Anolis sagrei: one gene and its partners. The protein of the gene in region 3 purifies or fractionates together with the protein of the main gene of each other region. This does not show direct contact. Links are inferred from orthologs where the notes say so. Each region holds a gene or a part of one and is shown on either strand. Other genes may lie near its edges.

The links.
Region 1: the proteins of CBX1 (region 3) and SUV39H1 purify together in Homo sapiens (affinity purification with mass spectrometry; 3 studies listed by BioGRID and IntAct, with this or other methods). This does not show direct contact. The link is inferred for Anolis sagrei from reciprocal best matches to the Homo sapiens genes CBX1 and SUV39H1.
Region 2: the proteins of CBX1 (region 3) and PRR14 purify together in Homo sapiens (affinity purification with mass spectrometry; 3 studies listed by BioGRID and IntAct, counting the BioPlex papers as one, with this or other methods). This does not show direct contact. The link is inferred for Anolis sagrei from reciprocal best matches to the Homo sapiens genes CBX1 and PRR14.
Region 4: the proteins of CBX1 (region 3) and ADNP2 purify together in Homo sapiens (affinity purification with mass spectrometry; 5 studies listed by BioGRID and IntAct, with this or other methods). This does not show direct contact. The link is inferred for Anolis sagrei from reciprocal best matches to the Homo sapiens genes CBX1 and ADNP2.

What each region holds. Positions count from the first base shown.
Region 1 is NC_090022.1:194,074,783-194,082,731, forward strand, and holds the start of SUV39H1 (histone-lysine N-methyltransferase SUV39H1), read left to right. Parts: upstream 1-4,935; 5' UTR 4,936-5,022; coding exon 5,023-5,041; intron 5,042-7,949. UniProt on the Homo sapiens protein: Histone methyltransferase that specifically trimethylates 'Lys-9' of histone H3 using monomethylated H3 'Lys-9' as substrate. Also weakly methylates histone H1 (in vitro).
Region 2 is NC_090026.1:16,092,806-16,099,827, forward strand, and holds the start of PRR14 (proline-rich protein 14), read right to left. Parts: upstream 3,026-7,022; 5' UTR 2,831-3,025; intron 1-2,830. UniProt on the Homo sapiens protein: Functions in tethering peripheral heterochromatin to the nuclear lamina during interphase, possibly through the interaction with heterochromatin protein CBX5/HP1 alpha. Might play a role in reattaching heterochromatin to the nuclear lamina at mitotic exit.
Region 3 is NC_090026.1:33,852,217-33,859,292, reverse strand, and holds the start of CBX1 (chromobox protein homolog 1), read right to left. Parts: upstream 3,022-7,076; 5' UTR 2,754-3,021; intron 1-2,753. UniProt on the Homo sapiens protein: Component of heterochromatin. Recognizes and binds histone H3 tails methylated at 'Lys-9', leading to epigenetic repression. Interaction with lamin B receptor (LBR) can contribute to the association of the heterochromatin with the inner nuclear membrane.
Region 4 is NC_090024.1:76,607,759-76,614,618, reverse strand, and holds the start of ADNP2 (activity-dependent neuroprotector homeobox protein 2), read right to left. Parts: upstream 3,026-6,860; 5' UTR 2,897-3,025; intron 1-2,896. UniProt on the Homo sapiens protein: May be involved in transcriptional regulation. May play a role in neuronal function; perhaps involved in protection of brain tissues from oxidative stress. May be involved in erythroid differentiation.

The DNA of each region.
Region 1 (7,949 bases), on a different chromosome or scaffold from region 3:
GCCTGGGAAATACTGGCTGGCTTTCTGGTTCTGGCCAATCAGGAGAATGGGAGGAAATTTAGAACAGTAGCAATGTTAATGCATGGAAACTCTTATGTATAAAGATGCCTGCTTTTTCCTTGTGCTTTACGCATGTACCCTTTGAACACCCGCTGTTGTACAAGTATCCCTTCTGCAGATTGAATAAAACTTCACTCTGGTGACATCCTGATTTCTGTCATGGAATATTAACAGTTAGAGGTGCTCAGTATCCATAGGTTCTTGGAAAACCTCAAGCTTTCAGCATCAGTGTCAAACTGCATTGTAGATACATCCATAGATGACAAGTCACCAGTAAAAACATTTAATGCAGAGGCTGTTCTGTGTTAAAAATATATTCTAGCAATCAGATTTAGCCCGGAAAAAGAGAAAAATGCAAGCTGATATGAAAGCAATTTACAAATATTTGAGGGACTGTGACATGTTTGAATGTGAAGGAATTATCCTTTGTACAGTATTGTGCTGCTCCTGAGATGAGGAGCCAAACCACTGGTTTCAAATTATAGGTAAGGAGATTCCAGATAAGAAGTTTGTAATAATACAGCTGTGAGACATTGGGCTCCCTTGGAAAGTGGTAAATTCTCCTTCGTTGAAAGTCTTTAAACAAGAGCCCGGTGGTTGCATGTCAATGTGATGCTTTCACTGTAGATTCCAGTGCTAGCAAGGCGATGGAGACAACTCTTGCGGCAACTTACTGTTGCAATCCAGAGCAGGGAACGAGGCCCTAAGATATCCACCACACTTGGCTGTGAAAAACAATCCTTTTTTATTGAAGAAAAATGGTTACAAAATAAAGGAAAAATGCAAGTCAAAAGCCACAGTAAAATCAGCAAACATGAATTTAAATGGACAAAGCAAAACCAAAAGCCTCACTGGGAAAATACTGGAATCTGTTAGCAATCCACTAACCGTACTTGATATCCTAGAAATCTTCCCAAACTATGACCAGGGAACCGGGAGAACTGCCAAGGTCTTCATCAATTCTGAAACGATGCCTGAACTGAGGCAATTAGCCTGGCGTATGGCAATTAAAACTCAAGAATTGGTTCCGTGAACCGCCCTTCTGTTTTGAAGCCAATGTTTTTAATTCTTGAATTCGGGAGGATCGACGCAAACTGAGTGTTTTACTTCTGTCTCCCCAAATTTGGCCCCTTCTGTTGTCATTACAGTTAACAGGTGCAGAAGGGAGGGAAAGTTCAAGGTCTCCCTCTGAAACATTCTCAGGAACACTGGTACTTTCATTTTCCAAACCTACAGCAGTTTCTTCCTCACTAATTTCAGGAGCATTGGCATCAAAAGGTACATTTCCACTAGCATCAGTAAATATACTTTCATTAGCATCAGGAGGAACAAACAGAGAATTAGGTTCAAGTTCAAACTCAGGCTGAACCCCAACACTTACAACTTTCATATTCTATATTTTTGTGTGAAGCTAATCTGGGAGAAGTCAGTAAATTTCAAAATTGTCTAACGAGATAATGGGGAAGTTGAACGGTATTGCTTCATAAGCCGTTGTGGTTGCAATTTTGTGTGTTCTCACTGAATTTAGACTTCTGAAAAAACAGCCATAGCATTTGGATGTAGATCATTAAGTAATTCTGGTGGCATAGTTCTGAGTCTTGGAGCCTTGTTTGTCTGCAAGAGCCTCCCTTGCTAGTGGTTGCTGAAAGAACATGTTTGGTTTACATAAATTATTCCTTACACAACACAGCATTCTCAGGCACTTCCTTCTTCTACTACTTTTTGGTTGAATGTAATAAATCAGTTAAGAACCTAGTCCCTGAGCTACAAAGAACCTAGCCCCTGAGGTAGGCGAATATGTTATTTTCAAAGGACTTCAACAATAATCCTGGCCAGTTCGAGGGCTTAAACTATTGCTGACCGATCAGACAAATATTCGTCATTTTAATCCTATAATTTTTTCTCTCCATTCATTGTTTCCCGCTTGACCCGCCTCCTCTCTTCCCATTGGCTGAGAGGCCAGAGCGACGCTGGCTCTCTGATTGGGCAAGGCGCAGCTGAGCTGGCCATGCCTCCCAGCCAGCGGAGGACTCCAACCAATCAGCGAAAAGCCAGCTAGGGGAGCGGGAGCAAGAACTTTGAACTTGACAGCTCTGTATTTCCTATAAAAACTGTGTTATTTTGCCTTGTGGCTCATGTCAGCTTCTGAGCAAAAGATTGCGGTTTGATATCTGTTCCAGCTGGAATGAAATAAACATCTCAGTGGCTTCTTCTTCAACTTAGTGAGATTTGGAAAAATAGGGAAAAATTTCTTTTGGGTGCTCTTGTCTCGCCAGGTGTCCAGATCCTCTTTGGTGGGTCTGGCTGGTCCTTGCCTCAGCAGGACCCCTTAAATTCAGGTTCGACATCACATGGAGGCACTCTGCCCAGGAGTTGTAAGGCAGCGGGGCCGAAGAGGTGTTGCTATGGCCCCACGCAGGTGTTACTATGGCCAGCAGTGGGCAGAATCCAAGAAGAGCATGGATGAGCTCTCTCTGTCAGCTCCAGCTCCCCATGCGGAGACATGAGAGAAGCCTCCCACAAGGATGGTAAAACATCAAAACATCTGGCCGTCCTCTGGGCAACGTCTCTGCTGACAGCCAATTCTTTCACATCAGAAGAGACTTGCAGTTTCTCAAGTCGCTTCTGACACTAAATAACAAGTGGATTACTTCAGGATGACTTTCTGAGCTGAAACTCGCTGCACTGAATGTCTTTGCTGAGGCACAGAATAAAGGTAAAGGTTTTCCCCTGACATTAAGTCCAGTCGAGTCCAACTCTGGGGGTTGGTGCTCATCTCCATTTCTAAGCCGAAGAGCCGGCGCTGTCCGTAGACACCTCCAAGATCATGTGGTCGGCATGACTACATGGAGCGCCATTACCTTTCTGCTGGAGCGGTACCTATTGATCTACTCGCATTTGCATGTTTTCGAACTGCTAGGTTGGCAGAAGCTGGGTCTGACAGCGGAAGCTCACACCGCTCCCCGAATTCGAACCTGCGACCTTTCGGTCAACAAGATCAGCAGCTCAGTGCTTTAACTCACTGCACCATCGGGGGGGGGGGTTCCTATATATATATATATATATATATAAATGGAGCCACATGACCTTGGATGTGTCTATATATATATGGAGCCCCTGGTGGCGCAGTGGATTAAAGCACTGAGCTGCTGAGCTTGTTGACCGAAAGGTCACAGGAACAACTGCTGTCAGACCCAACTTCTGCCAACTTAGCAATTCAAAAACATGGAAATGCGAGTAGATCAATAGGTACTGCTCCAGCAGAAAGGTAACAGCGCTCCAGGCAGTCATGCTGGCCACATGACCTTGGAGTTGTCTATGGACAACGCTGGCTCTTTGGCTTAGAAATTGAGATGAGCACCACATCCCAGAGTCAGACATGACTGGACTTCATATCAAGGGACAACCTTTACCATATATATATATATATATATATATATATATATATATATATATCTGAAAAACCACTGGATGAATTGACACCAAACTTGGACACAATGAAAAACACAGCAGAAGGGACTTTAAAAGCCAAACAAAAAACAAAACAAAAAACCAAAACGCAATATCACACATATATACACAAATATATATAGACACAAAATACATCTACACAGACCAAGCCACAGCAACGCGTGGCAGGGGACAGCTAGTGTGTGTGTGTGTGTGTGTGTGTGTGTATATATATATATATATATATATATGCACTGTCCTGGAGCGCCTGTTCCAGTGGCTCCAATTTTGTGTTTTGCACTGAGTTCATAGTCCTAAGTTGCAGGGACTTTGTATATAGGTGGCTTCCTTTGGCTGCATTCATAGGGCAAGCCACCTGTCAATTATAGTTAGGATCCCTGGTCCCGCCCCTCTCTGGGTTTTTTGGAGGGAAGGGGCCATCTTTCAGTTAGTCTCAGCAAAGGAAGTCAATGCAGAGGATGTATACAGACGTCCTCCTGTGCAAAGGCTTAGTCTGGGGGAGAACAGTCTTGAGAGCCTCTAAAGATTCCCAAAGGTTCCGGGGAAACAGCCTTACAGCCCTGAGGAATTCCGGAGGGAATTACAGCTCTAACCATCAAAGCAGCTAAGTCAGTGGTTCTCAACCTGTGGGTCCCCAGGTGTTTTGGCCTACAACTCCCAGGAATCCCAGCCAGTTTACCAGCTGTTAGGATTTCTGGGAGTTGAAGTCCAAAACATCTGGGGACCCCAGGTTGAGAACCACTGAGCTAAGTGATTACAGGCCTGTTGGTACGTCTACTTGGTTCTGAGACGCAGTTCAGCCGGTAGTGGATTCAAATCAGTTAGGTTTAGGTTCACAGCAGCCTGGGAGGAGCTAGAAAGGGGAATTTTCCTTTGAACAAGGTTTTTGAAGATAGTGCCTGTTCCCTGTGAACAAGATTGCAAGAGCTAAGAGACTGTTTAGAAAACTTTACAATTCTTGTTTGTTCATCAATAAAAGACTGTTATATTTAAGCTCAAGCCTCATAAAGACTGTTTAATAAGGGAAATTTCTCTAAAGGCTTCTTTTCGGGGGCCCTGGCTTCCCACTGGATCCAAGCCATACATCCTCTCTTAAAGGCACTTCATTTCAGGTCCAGTTGCGACAGAACACACACACACACTCACACATACATACACACCAACACTTTATATATTAAATGTTTGCGCGTGTAAAAACTGAAAAGAAAAAGAGCTCTCAGGGACTCCCAATTCCCCTTCACGCCCAGTGGCAGGAAGGTGCTGCCCAGCAATATAAATCTAGTTAGGGACGAGAAGGACGAGAAACGCTCCTTGACTTCCTATTGGGCGGGCGGCGGGGCTGAGGCTGAAGGGCAGCCAATCAGACAGCGCCACTGCTCCCGCCTCCCTCTCTGGCCCCGCCCCCAACTCGCCTCTCTTCCTCCAGTGGGATGAAAAGTTTCTGGCGGCCTCAGTGACTGGAAGGGGAGGGGGGAAAAAAAGAGGCGCAAGATGGCGGAAAATTTAAAAGGTGAGTGGAAACCGCCGCCGCCGCGCGCGCGCGCCGGGCCGGGCTAGCTTTGCGCGAGACCCCTCGTTTGGGAACCTGGGGTTCGGCGGGTGGAAGCCGAGAGCCAATGAGCGCTGCGGTCTGAGAGCGGCGCGAGGCGGAGGTTCGGCGGCGACCGTTACGGGGCGGGGAGCGCGCGAGGGAGGGAGTGAGGCGGCGCAGGACGTGGCAGAGAGCGGGAAAAAGGAAAGGCGGAAAGCGGATAGGGATAGGGAACCCTGAGGAGAGGGCAAGGGGAACGGGCAACCTTTGAGCGGGGCCACCTTGGCTGCGTTTCCCGCTCAGAGGATCCAATGTTGTTCCAAGTTCCTCACAGAGGCAGTTCATGTGCCTCCCTGTTCGACTCTATGCCTCTCCTCAGCAGACACGACGCTCCTGGAGACCCTTTTTGTGCCCTCTTCACATTTCCGCCCTCCTCATCTTTCCCCCTCTGGCGTGCTTTCCACCATGTGCGTCTATCCCTTAGGGTACTTCCACACAGCCCTATACTCCAGAATATCCAGGCAGAAAATCCCACAATATCTGCATTGAACTGGGTTATCTGAGTCCACACTGCCATATATTCCAGTTCAACGCAGATAATGTGGGATTTTCTGCCATGGATATAGGGCTGTGTGGAAGGGCCCTTACTCTGTATTGTCGAAGGCTTTCGTGGCTGGAATTACTGGGTTGTTGTAGGTCTTTCGGGCTATATGACCATGTTCTAGAAGCATTCTCTCCTGACGTTTCGCCTGAATCTATGGCAAGCATCCTCAGAGGTTTTGAGGATTCTTGCCATAGATGCAAGAGAAATGTCAGGAGAGAATGCTTCTAGAACATGGTTATATAGCCCGAAAAACCTACAACAACCCCTTACTATCCTCAGAGAGTAGGAGAACTCGTGGAACTCTTCAGGACAACCTTCTGACGTGAAACTCGCCTCACAATGATTTTGCTGAGGTACATAATAATAATAACAACAACTTTATTTATACCCCGCCACCATCTCCCCGAAGGGACTCGGCGTGGCTTACATGAGGCCAAGCCTGTCAAATACAAATACAACAATACATCGACAAACAAGCAAGCAAATAAAACAATATAAATAATACAGTTGAACATATAAGCAAAGCAATAACATGCAAAAGATTTAATGGCAGGGCCAGATGTAGATTAAAAGTTTAAAACCATGGGCGTGTACAGAGTAGGGTATGTCTAGGCATGGGGTTTTTAAAGTGTGATATGGGGGGATCAATCCAATGGATAAAGTGCTTCAGGGGACATATAGAAGGAAATTGGTCAGATAGGGCATTATTTCCTTTAATCAGGGAAGCCATGTTTTCAAGCTCCTCCTAAAGATAGCCAAAGTGGGGGCTTGCCTGATATCTTTAGGTAGAGAGTTCCAGAGTCGGGGCGGGGGGGGGGGGGGGGACACAAAATTTTGTTTGACCCACTCTTCTACGTCCAAGGGCCCTTCTACATATCTGTATAAAATCCCACATCTGTTTGGACTGGGTTATATGTCTGTTTGGACTCAGGGCCCTTCCACACAGCCATATAACCCAGAATATCAAGGCTGAAAATCTGCTTTGAACTGGATTATCTGAGCCCACACTGCCATATATTCCAGTTCAAAGCAGATAATGTGAAATTTTATTCAGCTGTGTGGAAGGGGCACAAGTCTGCAACAATAATAGCATATAAAACTTTGAAGGAGGGAAGATTGCTCCTGTTTCCAGGTTTGCAATCTAAAAACATTTTTAGCATTATAATTATTTCCCGGGATTCAGCAACAGGAGTGGAATAGAACTACTACATCACACTAGAGAATGAATCCACTTTGAATCTGTTTTCTGCCTCCAGCAGAATTCTGGGGTTTGTAGTTTAGGGAGGAAACTTTAACAGCCTCACTAAACTACAAACCCAAGAATTCTGCAGGAGGCAGAAACTGGATTTAAAGTGGATTCATTCACTAGTGTGATGAGGCCCCTAGTAGACATTGCCATTGACCAGTTCTTTGTTTGAGCCAATTGACCATGGTGGATCTTCCATCATTTATTAATGCTGACCATAGACAACCACACTGGTGGATCTTGAAGAACCACCAGAAATCTTGATTCCTCTTTCAAAGAGTAAAGAAGGGAATTGGCATCACCGGCAGTCCCCAATTTACAAACCACTCATAGTTAAGAATGGGGCTGAGACAACATGAAGTGACAGAAATCAACCCCCAAGGCCCTTCCACACAGGCATATAACTCAAAATATCAAGGCAGAAAATCCCACAATATCTGCTTTGACCTGTATTATCTGAGTCCACACTGCCATATATTCCAGTTCAAAGCAGATAATGTAGGATTTTATTCAGCTGTGTGGAAGGGGCCTCAGAAGGGAAACTGCATCCCGAAAGAGTTATCATGAGGACAAAGGTGTCTCAACTGAAGCTTCCTCACCAATCCTTGTAACCACAACAAGACACATTCTTCAAAAATTAATTACTTGCATATAATATTTTAAAGTCACCATGATCACAAATATCTGGAGTGGATAATGTTGTGGTGATGCCAAATCACAATGATACCTAACCTTTCACCCAGATCGTATTTAGTGCTGATCTTCAGCCGAGTGTTTTCAACTTTATTGGCTTGAAAAGAATGAAGATTTTGCAGGTGAAAGGCAAACTGTTTGAAACAAATTTCCTAAAGGCTTTGCTAGGTTTTCCAGCTGTGGTACACATAATTTCATTATATATATATTTTATTTTTGTGTCAGGAGTGACTTGAGAAACTGCAAGTCACTTCTTGTGTGAGATAATTGGCCATCCTTAAGGATGTTGCCCAGGGGACGCCGGGATGTTTGATGTTTTACCATCCTTGTGAGAGGCTTCTCCC
Region 2 (7,022 bases), about 18 Mb from region 3:
AAAAACCTAGAGGAGCACAGTTTGAGAAACACTGCCTCGGGGAATGTGGCCCATGCCTGGGTTAGACAGAGGCCAGAATCCCAACAGTTAGTTCTAATTAAAGTAGACAAGTGAAGTTAATAATCACATAGAATCATAGAATCAATGAGGTGGAAGAGACCTCATGAGCCATGCAGTCCAACCCCATTCTGCCAAGAAGCAGGAAAATCGCATTCAAAGCACCCCCGACAGATGGCCATCTAGTCTCTGTTTAAAATACTCCAAAGAAGAAGCCTCCACCACACTTTGGGGGCAGAGAGTTCTATTGCCGAACAGTGCTCTCTCTTGCAGTTATGAAGTTTTTCCTAAAGGTCAGGGAGAATCTCCTTTCGTGTAGTTTGAAGCCATTGTGCCACATCCTAGTCTCCAGGGCAGCAGAAAGCAAGCTTGCTTCCCCCCTCCCTATGACTTCCCCTCACATATTTATACATGGCCCTCATTGTGTCTCCTCTCAGCTTTCTTTTCTTCAGGCTAAACATGCCCAGCTCTTTAAGCCGCTCCTCATTGGGCTTGTTCTCCAGACCTTTGATCATTTTAGTCGCCTTCTTCTGGACACATTCCAGCTTGTCAACATAATAATAATAATAATAATAATAATAATAATACTTTATTTATACCCCGCTACCATCTCCCCAAGGGACTCTGTGCGGCTTACATGTGCCCAAGCCCACAGTACATCAGTAAACAGAAGCAATAACAAAAAATCAATACAAAACAATTAATATAAATAACATAAACATCTCTCACATAAACATCTCTCTAGGTCAGTCTAACAATGTAGAATAACTACAGTTTGACCCTACTTTGGCAAGGGTCAATGGTTGTGATTTTCCAAGGACTTTCTCCTTCTTCACTGGGGCCTCGCCGAACTACAAATCCCAGAACTGCATGGTACTGAACCGTGGCAGTTAAAGCAGTGCCAAAGTGTAATTATTCTATTGAGAGAAACCCTAAAAGCCACAACTAAACACGACCACAGGCATGGGCCAACTTTGGCCCTCCAGGTGTTTTGGACTCCAACTCCCACCATTCCTAACAGCCTCAGGCCCCTTCCTTTTCCCCCTCAGCCACTTAAGCAGCTGAGGGGGGAAAGGAAAGGGCCTGAGGCTGTTAGGAATGGTGGGAGTTGGAGTCCAAAACACCTGGAGGACCCAAGTTGGCCCATACCTAACCTAAAGGCATTGTAAGAAGAGCTTAAGATGAGGGGGGAAAGGAAATAATAATAATAATAATAATAATAAACCTTTATTTATACCCCGCTATCATCTCCCGAAGGACTTGGTGCGGCTTACAAGAGGCTGAGCCCAAATACAACAGTAAAACACAACAACAACAATAGAATAATAATAATAAAAACTCATAAACAAAGCAAAAAACATTAACAATAACCTGTGGCAGGGCCAAATGTAATACTTAAAATCTTTAAAAGTGCTGGGCATGATCAGGTGAAATAAGATAGATATTTTAGGGATAGGTGGGGCTTGCAGGCAATTCTAGATCTCTAGTAAAGTGCATTTCATAGAATCATAGAATCAAAGAGTTGGAAGAGACCCCATGGGCCATCCAGTCCAACCCCCTGCCAAGAAGCAGGAATGTTGCATTCAAATCACCCCTGACAGATGGCCATCCAGCCTCTGTTTAAAAGCTTCCAAAGAAGAAGCCTCCACCACACTCCGGGGCAGAGAGTTCCACTGCTGAACGGTTCTCACAGTCAGGAAGTTCTTCCTCATGTTCAGATGGAATCTCCTCTCTTGTAGTTTGAAGCCATTGTTCCGCCGTCCTAGTCTCCAGGGAAGCAGAAAACAAGCTTGCTCCCTCCTCCTTGTGCCTTCCTCTCACATATTTATACCTGGCTATCATATCTCCTCTCTCATTTGGGACATATTGCTTGGAGTTTCCTTATTCTGGAAAGGCACACTGGAACAGCCACGTTTTCAAGCTCCTTCTAAAGACTGCCAACGTTGGGGCATGCCTGATGTCCTTGGGGAGTGAGTTCCAGAGTTGAGGGGCCACCACCAAGAAGGCCCTGTCCCTGGTGGGAGTTGGAGTCCAAAACATCTGGGGGGCCCAAGTTGGCCCATGCGTCTACCACCACTTTAAATATATATATAATAAATATAAATATATAATGAATATTAATAAGTATAATTGGGATGGCACACTGGAACAACCATGTTTTCAAGCTCCTTCTAAAGACTGCCAACGTTGGGGCATGCCTGATGTCCTTGGGGAGTGAGTTCCAGAGTCGAGGGGCCACCACCGAGAAGGCCCTGTCCCTGGTGGGAGTTGGGAGTCCAAAACACCTGGGGGGGGGGCCAAGTTGGCCCATGCCTCTACCACCACTTTAAATATATATATATATATATATATATATATATATATATATATATAATATAAATATATAATGAATATTAATAAATATAAATATAAAAATTAAAAATATATAATAAATATAATAAATATAAAAATTAAAAATATATAATAAATATAAATATAAAAAATTAAAAATATATAATAAATATAAAAATATAATACAATAAAAAAACTTTCAAAGTTAACTCCTTTTGGAAGTGAACCCCATAAGGATGCCCTGAACCTGGTTCAAGAGCTAAAAACCAAGTAACTTTCCCTTCAAGTAACTTCTGGTGCCTCAGGATCTCCATGCTCTCTTCCAATTTGTGGCCTCAAGTCCCACTTCCAAGACTCCCTCTGCCATCTTCTCCATCTCTTCCCCCCCCCAAAAAACCCCAAAACAAAACCCCAATTTCATATCAATTCCATGAAATCTCACCTTCTTTGCCCACTTCCTTGGGCTCCTTTCTCGAATCAGTTAAACTCAGTTTGAAAAACAGCCCCCCTCCTCCTCTTTCCTCCTTCCTTCCTTCCTTCCTTCCCTCCCTCCAACTCACCAACTAACTCCCTCTTCCTCCTCCCTCCTTGCCCTTCTCTTACTCACACCTCGACGCTACCCTTTTCCCTTTCGTGTTCCATACCAGCCAATGGTAGCGCGGCTTGTTTTCCCTCCCAGCCAATCAGTGTGCAGGATTTACCTCGAGGTAGCGTGGCCAAACCGCCGCCATCACAGTGAAGGGCAAAGGCGGCTCGCGGGCTTGTGTAGCGTTGGAAAAGAGTCGCGTCTTGCGGCCGCCTTCTTTGTTAAGGGCGAAGGCGCCGGTGACGTTGGGAAAGCTGCCATTTTGGCTCAGGGCAAAACTGAAGGGGGAAAATAAAAGCGGAGCGAGGGAGAGAAAGAGAGAGGAAAACAAGGAAGGCGTCGAGGGCGGCAGCCATTTTGAGTGAGGGCAGATTTTTTTGGTGGCGCCGTTTAGGAGGCCGCCATTTGAAGCGAGGACCAGAAGTGGGGTATTTAAAGGGGCAGGCTTTAAATTATGATGGACGCAAGGCTGGCAATGCAGCTTTGATTCCTTCTTTTAGGCTCCCTTTACACTGCTTTAGAATGGATTATTTGGCAGTGTAGACTCATATAATCCAGTTCCACCTTGTCTTTACTAATAATATAATATAGTATATTGTATATACATATTATATTATAATGTAATACAATATAATACTAGTAATAATAGTTCAATATTATAATTATATATTTACATTACATATAATATTACAATATAATGGTATAGTGCAATATAGTAATATATACTGATATTGTACTATGCTAATAATATAATATATTGTATGAAAATATATATTGTAAGCCGCTCTGAGTCCCCTTCGGGGTGAGAAGGGCGGCATATAAATGCCGTAAATAAATAAAATAATAAATAAAGCAGGTAATGTGGATTATCTGCTTTGATAACCTGGATTATATGCCAGTGTGGAAGGGCTCTCAGAGAGGCCTTTTGGCTGTATTGGAATTTTCTCCTTGCTGTATTGGACATTCATTGCTTTCAGAATTAAAACTTGACCCCAATGTAGACTTGTATTGAATCTTTCACACGAAATGGAGGAAAAAACTGAAATTTATTTATTTATTTACGAAATGTAAATAAATAAAGGGGACTCAGAGCGGCTTACAAGATATATAAACATATATTATGTTTTTGCCCATGCGTTGTAATGTATTTTTTGTTTTTTTGGCATTTTAAGTCTTTTCTGCTGTGTTTTTATGAGTGATGGTCACTCGTTAGCCTGATATGTATATTGTGTCCAAATTTGGTGTCAATTTGTCCAGTGGTTTTTGAGTTATGTTAGTCCCACAAACTACCAGTTTGAAGACCTGGCTGTTCCGGTGTGCCTTTCCAGAATAGGAAACTGTCCCAGAAGCACAATATGTCCCAGAAGCACTTTATCAGAGAATTAAGATTGTCTGCACATTGCACTTACCCTAAAATCCTATATTCCACCTGTCATACTCAGCACTTTTAATCTGTACCCATTATTCAACCAGACCCTAGTTTTATTGTGTCACGGTGTACTGTTTCTATTGTTTACTGTTATTGCTTAATGTTTTGATTTGCTTTATAATGCTGTATTGTTATGTTATTGTTTTATTGAGGCCTTGACCTTTGTAAGCCGCATCGAGTCCTTCGGGAGATGCTAGTGGGGTACAAATAAAGTTAATAATAATAATAACAATAATACCTGCCACACGTTGTTGTGGCCCAGTCTGTGTTTTGTGTGTATATATATATGTGTGCATATATTTGTGTATATGTGTGTTTGCGTGTATATGTGTGTGTGTGTGTGTGTGTGTGGTTTTGCTCATGAGTTGTAACGTACTTTTTGTTTTTTGGCTTTTAAAGTCCCTTCTTTTCTGTTTTTATGAGTGATGGTCACTCATTAGCCTGATATGTGTATTGTGTCCAAATTTGGTGTAAATTTGTCCAGTGGTTTTTGAGTTATGTTAATCCCACAAATGAACATTGCATTTTTATTTGTATAGATTAATATAGTACAATATTAGTATTACTATATTGTACTATACCATATTGTAGTATTATTAGTAATATTACATGTAATATTACTAATTATTAGTAATATTACATGTAATATTACTTGCTGTGATGTTTTTACTTATTTGTATTCGGGCTCGGCCTCTTGTAAGCCGCACCGAGCCCTCCGGGAGATGGTAGCGGAGTATAAATAAAGGTTTATTAATATTAATAATAATAATAATATATTATGATATATTATTATTATAAGTAGTATTATATTGCATTACATTATTCAACCAATCTTGACATTTTCTAGGTCCTTGGTACATCTACACTGTAGAATTGATGCTGTTTGACACCACTTTAACTGCTAGGGCTCAGTGTAATGGAATAATGAGAGCTGTAGTTTTTATGACTTCGTTAAAGTGTGGTGCTTCATGAAACCACAAATCACATGATTCGATAGCCACATGGCATTTTAAAGTGGTGTCAAACTGCACGAATTCCACGGTGTAGATACCCTCTCAACCGCTCCCTCATCCTTACCTATGTTGTCGAGAAATCAGACCTACCAACGCGACCTCAGTATGATTAAACATGAATTTTTGTTAAAATTTTTTTACAACTTTGCAATACCAAGCAGGCAGTATTCCGCACTTTACCCTATTTTCATTGACCCTGTCACAGAAGGTTGACTGACTGCACACACCAGAAACATTAACATATTCCTTTGGGGGAAAAGGGAATTGCCTCAGGAAAGGGCTCCACAGGAAATACTTCAAAGATCCTAAACCCCAGCCTAGTATTTTCCTTGAAAAATGAATAGAAAACAATTCAAAGGGGGCTCTTCCCCAGCTCCTGAGCCCACCTGTATGCTTTCCTTGGACTTGTTAATTCCTACATGGCCATTTTTTGGTTTCAGAGTGATTTGAGAAACTGCAAGTTGCTTCTGGTGTGAGAGAATTGACCGTCTGCAAAGGCCTTGCCCAGAGGACACCCAGATGTTTTACCATCCTGTGAGAGGATTCTCTCATGTCCCCACATGAGAAGCTGGAGCTGACAGATGGGAGCTCTCCCCAGATCCAAACTGACGACCTTTCGGGCAGCAGTCCTGCCAGCACAAGGATTTAACCCATTGTGCCACCGGGGCTCAATGTGGCATAATGGAAAATAAACCTTGTAGTTCACGTTTGATCAGTCCACACACTGTTTTGCCAGAGAAAGAAAATATGTCACACAGAGGATCAGTAAATAACAAGTAGTTTATTCTTCATAATTCAGAACGTATTTACAATCATGTGATTAGTTGCATTGTCTCACATAATGTCATTTTATGAGAGATTTTTTTGTCCATGTGTGTTGTTACACAGCTGGAATCAGAGGATGTTTCTGACGACGATGATGGGACTCAGGTTCACAGTTTGGTTCAACAGGGGATTTTCCCAGGCTCAGCCAGGCCTTCAAATGCTAATGAAGGTGGTCAGTTGAAACATTCACACCTAGCTCCAGCAAGGAAGAGCTCTTTGCCCCACCCCAGCCATTCCACAGATATAAAAACCCATTGTCCTAATTCCAACAGACCTCACTACCTCTGAGGATGCTTGCCATAGATGCAGGCGAAACGTCAGGAGAAATGCCTCTAGAACATGGCCCTATAGCCCGAAAAACCCACAAGAACCTAATAGATAGATTGATTGATTTTTGCTCATTCACAGTGGAAAGCCTCTTGATGACAAAGGGAATAAGAAGAAAGAAAGGAGAAAAATGAAAGAAACTTCTGCCAAGTGTGGAAACTATTGTCCTTTGTGGCTGAAAAGAACTGGCTTAAAAGAGGGAGAAATGATTCAGGACCCATTACCTGTGAAGAACCTTTTACACAATGATGGTCATTTCAGGGCCTTGTTAAGATATCCTGCCAGATCAGGAAAGGCCTAAAGGACATGCCTTATGATAAGGTAGGCCTAGGCCAAGTTCCGTACAAACTTCCATACAGTGCTCAAACTTCCGTACAGTGGCCCTTATTTCTCATGCCAGTAAAGTAATGCTCAAGATCCTGCAAGGAAGACTCCAGCAATACATGGAGCGAGA
Region 3 (7,076 bases):
GATACACTGTGGGAGAACCACCTCACACTATCATGGCACTTCACTTTTATTAGCTCTGTACTGGAGCAACATCCATACAACAAGCTCATCTCTCCTAATGCTCTTATTTCATTCTACCTTAAGAAAAACATTGTACACAGGGACTCTATTGCACACTTTAAAACATAATCGTAGCCTCACTCTTAAAAACATTACAGCACGTTCATCATCCCATTCCTTAACTTCGAAACAATGTCCTCTATCAAATATTAGGTGCAATACTCTGCCAACATCCCTCTCCAAATATGTATTAGGGGACACAATCCATAATCTTTGTATTTTATACAATTTAGAAAAAGAAAACTTGCTACATTTTATATATGTGGAGTTTGTTTCCAAAAGGTACCAAATCCATTTTAAAATGAATTTTAAGTGTCAGCACATTGCTGTATATGAGTAAAGATCAAAACTATCAAAATGTTAGTAAATCACTTGGGCTCTGGGCTTGGAAAATTGCATTTAACATCAAAAGAATGCATATCCTCTGCTTTTTTCCTTCAATTTCTATAAATCTTATTCAGATTGACTTACATGTAAACCTGCCTCCTGGTAACAATTCTCCACTATATTTAATGAGCACCCCTAAATTCCAGAATACATTAAAATTTAAAAACTGCCCACATACTATACATAAACACATGTGCATCCACCCCCTTGTAACAATATCAACGTAGTTCATCCCTTATCTGGAATTCTAAAATACTGTACACTAGAATCTAAAGTTGTCCACATGGCTAGCTGAGATAGTGAAATCTTTGCTTTCTGGTGATTCAATACAATAAAACTTTGTTTTGTTTTAAAATAATATAAAATCATCTTCAGCCTCTGAGCACATTTGGGCCCCATCTTCAAGATACAACTCAATGTAAAAGGTGGGCCAAAAATCACAAAGGTGTTTGATGTTTTAGTAACTTTTTGAGAAGACTTTATGTGTAATGTAATGTCCTCTATACAGGCAGACCATGAATTACAAACATCCAACTTACAAACGACTCCTAGTTAAGAACGAGGAAGTGAGAGAAATCTATCTCTATGATGGGAAATTCATTCCTGGAAGAGTTATGGTGGAAAGGTGTCTTCCCTGAACCTTTCTCACCAATCCTTTTATCCACAACAAGCCAAATTTTTCAAAACCCAATGACCAGAGACAGGAAGTGAGGCGAACAAGGGCACAGAAAGCAAAACACCACACAGGGTTGTTGTAGGATTTTTCAGGCTATATGGCCATGTTCTAGAGGCATTCTCTCCTGACGTTTTGCCTGCATCTATGGCAAGCATCCTCAGAGGTAGTAAGGTCTGTTGGAACTAGGAAAAAGAGTTGATATATCTGTGGAATTGCTAGGGTAACAACTACCATGTCAGACTACACAGAGAAGCCATTGAAATCCACAAGCATGTGGATAATTTCAACAGAAAGGAGGAAACCATGAAAATAAACAAAATATGGCTACCAGTATTAAAAAACTCTAAAATTACAACAGCACAACAGAGAGGAAACAAACAAGGACATCTAATTACCTCTCAACAAAAGATTGCCCCAGGCATTGCCAGGCCATCAAATGCTAATCAAGGTGGTCAGTTGAAACATTCACACCTAGCTCCAGCAGACAAGAATTATTTGTCCCACCCTGGTCATTCCCTTGGCAAGGTCAAGATGACAAACATTCGCTCACTTCATATAATTGTTAACTTCTACTTATTATTTCCAGATGACATGTTCCATTGGTACTTAACTTCTTTGATCTCTTAATGATTTATATATTTATCCTAACTCACGAGGCCTCTAGCCTGCTATGTTTAATCTAAAGTCAACATTTACTTTTCCAATTATTTATGGAACAAGCCACTCCGATCTTTTATTGTTCTATTGAATTTCCCTTGCTGTAGAAATCTCTCGTCAGCATTTAAGGTAAGGCTTTTTTCTGTTCATCTTAAATGCATTTTTATAATTATAATTATATTTTCTCCTAATGGCTGCCACAATTCAACTTGAGAATAAACTTATAGAACATATCTTGTTTGTAACTTGGGGGTGGCCTGCATTTATTATTATTATTGCTGTTTATTTCTACCTGCTTTTTCTCGCCACGGGCAAAGAGGGCCGAAGTTTGCCCATGCCTGCTCTACTATATATGATGCTACTGTATTGTAAATGAAAAACAACAAAAGTTAAAGAAGTTATGACACACCGAAACTCCTTTGGGACTTTGGCAAGTACTCCAAAACGCCAAACACTTCAGGCAAGGAATATTCAGCCTGATAAAAACGCCTTTTCCTACACAAAACCACACACACGCCACTTTCTCTTCACACGGGCATCACTTGCAAGCATATTTCTTCCCCTCAGATGTCTTTCCCGTGCAGCTTCTATTGTTGAGCTCCCCACCATCACACATTCACTCAAACACAATACAAAGAAGCACAAACAAAAACAGTTCACACAGGGCTGGAAACCCAGCATACTTCTCATCCGTTTCGTGAACATATTTCCCACCACTCTTTACTGTCTCCTCTCTGAGAAAAGGGTCGCTATATGGCTCCTTTCCCCGCCCCAGAAAAGCTGCCTCAGGAACCCACGCAGGGGGCTCGAGTGTTTCTCCTTCCCGCGTTTTCGCGCCCCTTCCTCCCCCCTTGGGCCCACCCCCAATATGGCCGCCCAGGCCTGAGGTGCCTCAGACGCCCCCTCCCCATCTCTCCTCACTCGGCCTCTTTACCTGAGGAAGCCCCACCAAGGAAGCGCGCGGCGAGCGGCTTCCAAACGACCACCCCAGTCGGCGCCGCCACCACCACGAAGCGGCTGCAGGCCGAGCCGAGAGCGCGCGCGGAGCGGAAACCCCTCGGACTTCAGGAACGGACGGCAAAAGAGAGAGGCCAAGAGAGCGAGCGGCGGTTCGCGCTCGATCCGCCTCCGCCAAACAAAAGAGTCCTTGCAACCCCTCTACCCGCCGAGGCGCACGGCGCATGCGCTAGCCAACTTCCGACACCCCCCTCCCTCTTCTCCCTCCCGCCCTGACACTCGCCACTCGCCCGCGGCATTCTGGGACCGGATGTGATCGCCCACCCCTTTTCCTTCGCCCCATAGATTTTTAATGAAAGACAATCCACCCACAGTTAGAGCGTCTGTTTCCGGGTTTCTTTGGGTCCTTTTCTCAATTATTAAAAACTAGCCATCTCCTGCCACGCGTTGCTGTGGCGTTACTGTGGCCCAGTCTGTGTATATGTGTGGTGTGTGTATATTTCTGTACATGTGTATATATGTGTGTTTTTAAAGTCTCATCTGCTGTGTTTTCCAGTGTTTTTATGGGTGAAACCTGAGAGGTGTTTTGTGTCCAAATTTGGTCTCAATTCGTCCAGTGGTTTTTGAGTTGTGTTCATCCCACAAACTAACATTACACTTTTATTTATATAGGTAAAGGTAAAGGTAGTCCCCTGACATTAAGTCCAGTCATGTCTGACTCTGGGGTGTGGTGCTCATCTCCATTTCTAAGCCGAAGAGCCAGCGTTGTCCGTAGACACCTCCAAGGTCATGTGGCCGGCATGACTGCATGGAGCGCCGTTACCTTCCCGCTGGAGCGGTACCTATTGATCTACTCACATTTGCATGTTTTCGAACAGCTAGGTTGGCACAAGCTAGGGCTGACAGCGGAAGCTCACACCGCTCCGCGGAATCGAACCTGCAACCTTTCGGTCAACAAGCTCAGCAGCTCAGTGCTTTAACCCACTGCGCCACCAGGGGCTCCTTTATTTATATTTGTTGCTGTTGTTCATTCGTTCAGTCGTCTCCGACTCTTCGTGACCTCTAGATTCTATTATTCTATTATTATTATTTTATTATTGTATTACTTATATTATATATTTATTATTATATTATTCTATGTTATTATTATGATATTTCTATGACCCTCTGCGCAAGCTCAGGAACAGTAGCCTAGCTTTTCAGTGCTGGATTTCTAATTATTATTATTATTATTAATGTATTTTTTTGTCTTTTTACGTCCCTTCTGCTGTGTTTTCCAGAATTTTTATGAGTGATGGTCACTCATTGGCCTGGGAGGTGTCTTGTGTCCAAATTTGGTGTCAATTTGCCCAGTGGTTTTTGAGTTCTGTTAATCCCACAAACAAACATTACATTTTTATTTATATAGATGTATTTTCTTTGGGCCCTTCCACACAGCCCTATATCCCAGAATATCAAAGCAGAAAATCCCACATTATCTGAACCCAGTTCAAAGCAGATATTGTGGGATTTTCTGTCTTAATATTCTGAGATATAGGGCTGTGTGGAAGGGCCCTGAATTCATGCTGCCATATATTCCACTTCAAAGCAGATAATGTGGGATTTTATTCAGCTGTGTGGTAGGGCCCTCAAATAAAAATTTATGAGATTGATTGAACTAAGGAGAGTCAAATTTATGCTAAATTTCCATGGTACGCTAAGAGCCCTTCCACGCAGCCCTATATCCCATAATATCAAGGCAGAAAATCCCACATTATCTGAGTGTGGACTCAGATAACCCAGTTCAAAGCAGATATTGTGGGATTTTTTGCTTTGATATTGTGATTTATATGGCTGTGTGGAAGAGCCCTCAGTTATATGAGTCCACAGTGTCATATAATCGAGTTCAAAGCAGATAATATGTGGAAGGCACCTAGGTAAAAATTTATTCTATCCTACTCTATCTCCCCTTTGGGACTCAGGGCGTCTCACAGCATAAAAGGCAAACATTCATTGCCATAAAATAATAATAATAATAATAATAATAATAATAATACTTGCTTTGTACTTCTCAAAGCACAGCAGACAAATAATCAGTACAAGAAAACTGCCCTTAAACCAGAGCTGACGGCACAACAAAGTATTGCATGGGCAATTCCTTGACAAAATTGAAGGAAACATTCACACGGGGAAGACCTGGTTATAGCTCACTAATGGAACACTGAAAAAGGAGACAGAAGTCCTGATTCTTGCAGCCCAGGAGCAAGCCATCAGAACAAATGCAATTAAGACCAGGATTGAAAAATCAGCTGATGTACCAACATGCAGACTGTGCACGGAAGCTGATGAAACCATTGATCATATCCTGAGCTGCTGCAAGAAAATTGCACAGACAGACTACAAATAGAGGCACAACTCTGTGGCCCAAATGATTCATTGGAACTTAGGCCACAAGTACCACTTGCCAGCAGTAAATAATTGGTGCAGGCCCGTAGCCAGGATTTCGTTTCGGGGGGGGGGGGGGGGGGCTAAAAATTTTTCAGGGGGGTTTCGGGGGGGGGGGGCTGAGTTTCGGGGGGGGGGGGACTGAGTCTGAGTGAAAGAGGGTCTAGCCTAGCAAACCTTTTGTATCATTACCCCAATACCCCCATACATATGGGATATATTGAGAATGGTGATCAAATCATGATATTAATAAACATAACAGTTTAAATACTGCACCAGTAAGGCCTTTTCGCGAACCACCATGAGAATTTGGGGGGGGGGGGGGGGCTACATGCCTGAATTGGTGGATCGTAAACCTGCAAAGGTAGTGGAAAATGAACACGCAAAAATACTATGGGACTTTTGAATCCAGACTGACAAAGTGCTGGAACACAATACACCAGACATCACGATTGTGGAAAATAAAAAAAAGTTTATTGATGTCGCCATTCCAGGTGATACCTGAATTCACAAAAAAACAACAGGAGAAAACTCAGCTGTCATCAGGATCTCAAAATCGAATTGCAAAGGCTCTGGCATAAACCAGTACAGGTGGTCCCAGTGGTAATTGGCACACTGGGTGCTGTGCCAAAAGATCTCAGCCTGCATTTGGAAACAATAAACATTGACAAAATCATGATCTATCAACTGCAAAATGCCACCTTACTTGGATCTGCGTGCATCATTCGAAAATACACCACACAGTTCTAGACGCTTTGGAAGTGCTCGACTTGTGATTTTGTGATACGAAATCCAGCATATATATCTCGTTTGCTGTGACATACTGTGTTTTTATGTCAGTAAAATAAAAATAAATACTACAATAAATTAAAAAAACTAATAGACAATACAGCACATTCAACAATAATACAAATCACAAGAGAAACCATAATAACAAATTAAAAACAATATTGATAAAAATTATTATTATTATTACATACATTTCTACCCTGCCCTTCTCCTCCCAAAGGGGGACTCAGGGCAGCCTCATTGTTGCAGCAGACAGCAGCCTGTCTGTTGGGATGCAAATGGGGTGGAAGAATGACACCAGGCTAGAGCAGAGTTCCAAGTTCAAAACTTTTTACTTTTCCATGGAAAAGGGTGGGAAACCTCAGCCCGCAGCTGAAACAAGGGGTTTCCACACACCTTGATTTAAACAGAGCACATATTTATATACAATTGCTTATATAACTTGTTGACATTAATTAATTATTAATGCATAGGAAAACATCTTAATCATCTGGAAAGTCAGCGTGTTCGGGTCATATCTCCTGTGACCTTGTGCTGGTCAGCAGATCTGACATATACAGGCAGTTCAAACAGGGAAAAATCAATATATATTTTATACAATATATATATCAATATATACCTCACTACCGCTGAGGATGCTTGCCATAGATGCAGGCAAAACGTCAGGAGAGAATGCCTCTAGAACATGGCCATATAGCCTGAAAATACCTACAACAACCCAATATATACTTTTCTGTTGACTTTTGTACCAAAAAGGAAAAATCAATATATATATATTTAAAACTGCCCCCACATCACATAAGCATCGTGTGATGCTGTCAACATATAAGCAACAAGGGTTACAATGAAAACAGTAAAAAATCATTAAAACATGTTATACAGGTACATTACCAAGTTCATTAAACAAAAAGCTAAGATGCCAGTTAAAACCAAGACCAAGTTGGGTAAATCCAGTCGCATATGTCCTAACTTTCCTTCCAATTGTCGCTATCCACTGGACGAACGCCTGGTCCCAAAGCCAAGTCTTCAATTGTCTTCTAAAGGACAGGAGGGAGGTGGCCATCCTGATGTGCTTAGGGAGGGAATT
Region 4 (6,860 bases), on a different chromosome or scaffold from region 3:
CTCTCCTCCTTCCTTACCTTCCCCTTTCCTTCCTTCCTTCTCTTCCTCTTCCTTTCCTTCCTCCCCTTGTCTTTCCCTTCCTTTTTCTCCCCTTTCTTCCTTTTCTACCTATTCTTAGACTGCAATTCCCAACAGTCCTCCTGATCAATCTACCTACCTACCTATTTATCTCTATCTAATCTATCTATCTTATCTGGAGGATTGCTGGGAAATGCAGTCCAGGAATAGGAAATTGGAAATATGTAGGGATTGGGATGCAGTCCAGAGAAATCCAAGGAGGAGAAAGCTTGCATCTTGGAAGCAGTGCATTTGGATCACCCTCCTCTCCTAAAGGGCCTGGTCTAGGGGATGCTGGGAGTTGTAATCTGAAAGAGTGTGTGGATATGCTCTTGTGTGTTTTGTTTGTGCGTTATAGTGTCTTTTTGCCTTTTTGGATTTTTAAGTCCATTCTGTTGCGTTTTTCAGTGTTTTTATGAGTGATGGTCACTTGTTGGCCTAATAGGTGTATTGTGTCCAAATTTTGTGTCAATTCGTCCAGTGGTTTTTGAGTTATGTTAATCCCACAAACGAACATTACATTTTTATTTATATAGATTAAATTCAACGATTAAGGGCATCAATTCCTGCGGAGTTTTCCCATTTGTAGATGATGCCATGGAAACGCAGAGAAAACCTGCCACATGTGAACACAGGTTTAACAGTCCCATTATGATAGATTCGCAGTTGAACGAAATATACAAATAATAATAAACTTAATTTCTAGACCGCCCTCTCTCCCCTGAGGGACTCAGGGCGGTTTACCTATAAAAAGACAAACATTCAATGCTTCAAAATGGATACAAACACATCAAAATAACACAGGATAATGTATAGTAAACTTACAACGAAAGACTTAAGCATCAAAATAAAATAAAAAAGGATCAAAATATAATAAAAAAGGGACAATCCATTAAAATACAAAAACTAAAACTTAAGCAAACATTGAGTACACCCTAAAAGCAAGTTAAGAGACATTACATTAAAAATGTCATAACTGCCATAAAATACATGCCAGCATTTAAAGTGTCCGAGTGTCCTAAGCTGTTTTTATAATACTGAATTCTAACACTATGTAACAAAATTTGAAAAATAATTCTGTTCCTGTTTTGAAAGTGTTACATCCTATTTGATTGTGTGGTACTCACTTTGAAAGTTGTTGTTACGCTCCAGAAACCTGGTGTTTGTGGCTGCCACAAAACATGTTGAATTGGTTGAGGCTTGATGTGATAGTCATTGAAAAACCATCGCAAAATGCGCTGCAAGATGTCTTGCCAAAGCAAACTCTTTGTAGTTTCATTGTTGCATATTTTTCATGTTGAGAAACTGCAAGTCACTTCTGGTGTGAGAGAATTAGCCATCTGCAAGGACGTTGCCCTGGATGTTTGATGTTTTACCATCCTTGTGGGAGGCTCCTCTCATGTTTTTATTATTATTAACTTGCCATCCCCTGCCACACGTTGTTGTGGTCCAGTCTGTATATATGTGTTTTGTGTGTGTATATATGTGTGCATATATTTGTGTATATGTGTCTTTGCGTATATATATGTGGTTTTGCACATGAGTTGTAATGTATTTTTTTTTTGGCTTTTTAAGTCCCTTCTGTTGTGTTTTTCAGTGTTTTTATGAGCGATGGTCACTCATTGGCCTGATAGGTGTATTGTGTCCAAATTTGGTGTCAATTCGTCCAGTGGTTTTTGAGTTATGTTAATCCTACAAACTAGCATTACATTGTATTGTCGAAGGCTTTCATGGCTGGAATCACTAGGTTCTTGTGGGTTTTTTCGGGCTATAGGGCCATGTTCTAGAGGCATTTCTCCTGACGTTTCGCCTGCAACTATGGCACTACCTCACTACCTCTGAGGATGCTTGCCATAGTTGCAGGCGAAACGTCAGGAGAAATGCCTCTAGAACATGGCCCTATAGCCCGAAAAAACCCACAAGAACCTAGCATTACATTTTTATTTATATAGATATCATTAATTGTTGCATTAATGATTTTTAAACAATTGAATTGCTGTGGTGCCTTTTACATATTTTATTAAGTATGCATGTATTTATTTGTTGGCTTTGAATACTTGCCTTTTATGACGTTAGCCCAGGAATGGGCAAACTTCGGCCCTTGGGGTGTTTGGGACTTCAACTCCCACTATTCCTAACAGAATTGGCCCCTTTACTTTTCCCCCTCAGCACCTTGAGCTTTGAGTAACTCAACCATAGAATAAGTGTTGGAAGTGACCACATGGGCCATCTAGTCCAACCTCATTCTGCCATGCAGGAAAAGCACAATCAAAGTATCCCTGACAGATGGCCATCCAGTTTGTGTTTAAAAGTTTCCATGGGAGGAGTATCCACAACCATTTTCCAACCTGAACCTGTTCCAAAAGTCCCAATTTTAGCATTCCATTTTTTCCCCGCCCCATTGTGCGGCTTCTCCCGCCCTAGTGTCGGAGGCTTTGGAGAAATTCTGAAATGAGTGAGGAAAATTAGGGCTTAGACCAGACCTGGGCAAACTTCAGCCCACTCTGGACTTCTACCCCCACAATTCCTAACAGCCTCACGCCTAAGGGGGGTTAGGAATTGTGGGAGTTGTAGTCCAAAACACCTGGAGAGAGGAGGGGCTGAAGTTAGTCCATGCCTGGCTTGGACCCAGCTAGCTGCCTTCCCGCGCTTGGCGCGCTCTCCAAAGAGAAAGCAAAGGGAAAAAAGATGGGAGGAGGCGCCCGCGAGGCTGGACTCCGCCCAGAAGCAGCGCGCGGGGAGAAAGGGCGAGGGGCGCGCGCTCTCACCTTCCCTCCTGCCCTCCTTCCCTGGCTCGGCTGTAGCGCCTGGTGGCTTCAGATTGGGGACTTGCACTTACCTGCCCCGGCCGCAGGGGGCGCGCGCACTCTCCCGCGCTCTTCTCTGGCGCCGCCCTCAGGGACGCGCGCGCCTGGTTGCTGCTGCTGCAGCTGCCGCCTTGTCTTCTTCCTCCTCCTCCTCCTCCTCTTCCTCCTCCTGTCTTCCTCCTCCTCGCTCAGAGGCCGGCCCGACTCCACCTCTGCACCCTGCAGGCCCGGCGCTCAGGCCTCAAAGCCCCGAGCATCCCTGCCCGTCCCTGCAGCGCTGGCCCTTGCTCTCGCCCCGCGAAAGCCGACCGCACAAGCCCTGCTCCCTGCTCCTCCCTCCTTCCTTCCTTCCAGTGAGAAAGAGAAAATGGCGCTCGATTTGTCCCAGGAAGTGACGTCCCGCCTCATTTGCATCTCAGCCAGTCCACCAATGAGGAGAGGCTCGGTCCAGGGCTCCCATTGGTTCCCTCCATCAGCACTAACTCTTCAGGGTGGCTGAGGTTCCCAATGCAGCCGCTGGGGAGCGCTCTAGCTGAGCCTGGGGGGCCTCCCCTCCACTCACCCTCACCTGGGCCACTCACCTGTCCTCCCCTGGGGCATGGGCACCTCTCCCACCAAGCCAAAGTGGCAACTTCCACGTGATTTTGGGTTGTGACGTCACTGCAGAGGGGTGGGGCCTTGCTTGCATCATCCCATGTGATGCAGTCATGTGGCCATGCATCTCTCTGGCTGGTTTGCATATAAGGTTGAGGGTGCCTTGTTTGCATCATCAGCAGGCTTCTTGAAACCCCCCTTTACCTCCAACAACCAATGGGACCCATCCAAATGGAGTCTGCCATTGGAAGAAGGAGCCCTCAAGTCATCTAAGAAAGGCTGTTGCAAAGTTGGCATCAAACCTGGAAGGCTCTTCTTTGGGTCAACCATTCTTTCCATCTCTAGAAGGTCAAGTTTGTCTTCAAAGAGTAAAAAAAGAAAGTGAAATGGTTGGTTCCTATCATTTGAGGTCTTCAAATCATTCGGAAGCGCTTTCAAATTGGGTTCCTCCAGGGGGGAGCAGGGGCTCGTGTGGGTTCCTACTCCATTTGTCCCACAGTGGTGTGACACGGAACCAAACTTATACATCTAGCCAGGCAGCGGTTCTCAACCTGTGGGTCCCCAGATGTTTTTGGCCTTCAACTCCCAGAAATCCTAACAGCTGGCAAACTGGCTGGGATTTCTGGGAGTTGTAGGCCAAAAATATCTGGGGACCCCAGGTTGAGAACCACTGAGCTAGAGGAAAGCAGGACCTAAGTAGGAAACTGATGTTCCTAAAGAACAATCCAAAATCTAAATGTTTTCTTTAAAATATATATCAACTCAATTTGGATATAACCGCCAGTGTCGTTTCTGGTCCCAAAGCAAATATCAAAATGGAGAGGCCATTGTGATGTTCCTTCAAGTTGACTTTGACTTAATTGTGGCGCTCTTTGAAGAGTTTCTTGGCAAGACTAATTCAAGGGAGATTTGCTATTAAATTTCTGAGAGAATACGAATCCCTCAAGGTCACCTAGTTGTCCATTCCTGAACCCTAGTTTCTTGGGAGTTTGCTTGGCAATGGAAGATTTTAATGGAGTCCCCTTCTCTGAAGATGTTTAAACAGAAGCTGGATGGTCATTTGCCTTGAGTGCTTTGATGGCCTGTTCCTGCATGGCACAGGCTTGAACTGGATAGCCCTTGTACTTTCTTCCAACTCTATGCTTCTGTGGGTACTACTCCAACTTTCAAATTACTGTATCGTATTAGCTTTCAAAATTCTTGTCTTCCCAGTGTCTCATGATGTACTAGCACAGTGGTTCTCAACCTGTGGGTCCCCAGATGTTTTGGCCTTCAACTCCCAGAAATCCTAACAGCTAGTAAACTGACTGGGAGTTCTGGGAGTTGTAGGCCAAAGCACCTGGGGCCCACAGGTTGAGAACAATTGTCACAATAGCAAGAAATAAACCATCAAGTGACATCATGATTAGTAGATGTGTTAATAGATGCTGTGTGCAGTTTGGAACATGGAGACATGGACTGTTTAGTTAGAGTAGGGCATGGGAATACTTCGGCCCTCCAAGTGTTTTGGACTTCAACTCCCGCAATTCCTAACAACTGGTAAGCTGTTAGGAATTGTGGAAGTTGAAGTCCAAAACACCTGTAGGGCTGAAGTTTGCCCATGCCTGAGTTAGAGCAGTACACGTGTCCTTTCTCATGTTGTTTTCCATTAGTATCGTTCATGCACTTGTTATTGAGGAAATGCAAGATCTGACCATGATACAAGGTACCGTGAGCACTTGGTATTCACTAGCAGGTTAGTTCCAAGACCCTCCCTGGATACCAAAAGTCCATAAAATGGCCATAACATACAATGGCAAAGTAAGTAATTTCCCCTTCATATCAAATGGAGAACAATTCTAATGAGTGCTGAAGAGAGGCTGAGGATCTGTGAAATGTCAAGACGCTACAGCATGGAATGCCTACATATCACTGTAGTCTTCAAGGTTTTTGGCATGTTCTTCTACATGTCTTGAGTTGTGTTTGGTTGAGTCCATAGATGCCAAACCCATGGATATGGAAAGCTGAGTAACATTATGTCTGATTGTTGCTGCCATTGAGAAGAGGGCAGCTTTAATAAGGAACAAACATCTGGGGTTGATTCTGAGAGCCTTGATGAAAGGAACAAGCATCAAGAGCATTACAAAAGGTTCAAATCAAGACTATTCTTTGTTAACCATCTTTCCTTATAGAGAGCCTATGGATTCTCCTGCACTTCTAGCATTCATTGCCAGTGATTAAAAGCTGGAAATGAAGAGGTTAAAAGCATAATTGTCACCTATATAAATAAATTACTTCACAAATATACCAAGGGTATAATGAACTCACATTTCAGATCAACATAACAAATTATGGTAATTGTTTTTTAGCTAGAGGGTGTGATGTGTAACATTTTCCAATTATATTTAAATGGAATGTTAGAATCATTGTAGTTTAATTTCTCAGGTCTGATGCCATTTTCTTTTCAATCCTATGATTAATATGTTTTAAGCAACGGAAAAGCAACAAGTTACGTTTTTATTAACTGCTGTCAAGTCAACTTCAACCTCTAGGGACCTTATGAATGAGAGAAGTCTGAGGGCCTTTCTACACTGACATGTAATCCAGAGTATCAAATGATGTAATCTTTCTGCTTTGAACTGAATTATCTGAGTCTATACTGCCATACGATCCAATTCAAAGCAGATAATCTGGATTTTATGCAGCTGGGCAGAGAGGACCAAAGTCACTCTACCTTCCAACAGCCCTGCTCAGGTCTTGCAGACTCAGAGCCGTGACTTCCTTGATTGAATCAATTTATTTGGAATGCAGGCTTTCTCTTTTCCTATTGCCTTCTATCTTACCAAGCATCATTGTCTTATCGCATAAGTCATGTCTTCTCTTAGCATGTCTAAAGTATGACAGCCTTAGTTTATTCATCGTTTCATCTAGGGAAAGTCCCAACCTCATTTGCTCAAGGATCCATTCATTTCTCTTTTTTATTGTCCACAGTATCTGCAGAATCCTTCTCCAGAACCACATCATCATCATCATCATCATCCAATTACTTATTAATTGCCCTCCATCCGAGAATGCTCTAGAAGATTTACAGCTAAATTGTAAAAGATAAAATACATACATACAAAAATTAAAAGGGATCAAATGCTCTAGTAAAAAGCCAGGTCTTAAGTGCATGAGTAAAAGGCCCTAAGTCACGCATGGCTCTCATGTGGGGTGGCAAGGAATTCCATAAGGCAGGGGCAGAAATAGAAAAAGCCCTGCATCTGATCCTTTCCAAGTGCACTTCTCTAGGACCCGGTATATAGAGTAAGTCGCGTTGGGCTGGTTGTTGCGACCTCCGATGATGGGAGAAGGAGAGGCGGTCCCTAAGGTACGATGGACCCTGGCCGTAAAGAATTTTAAAGGTCAGAACTAACATCTTAT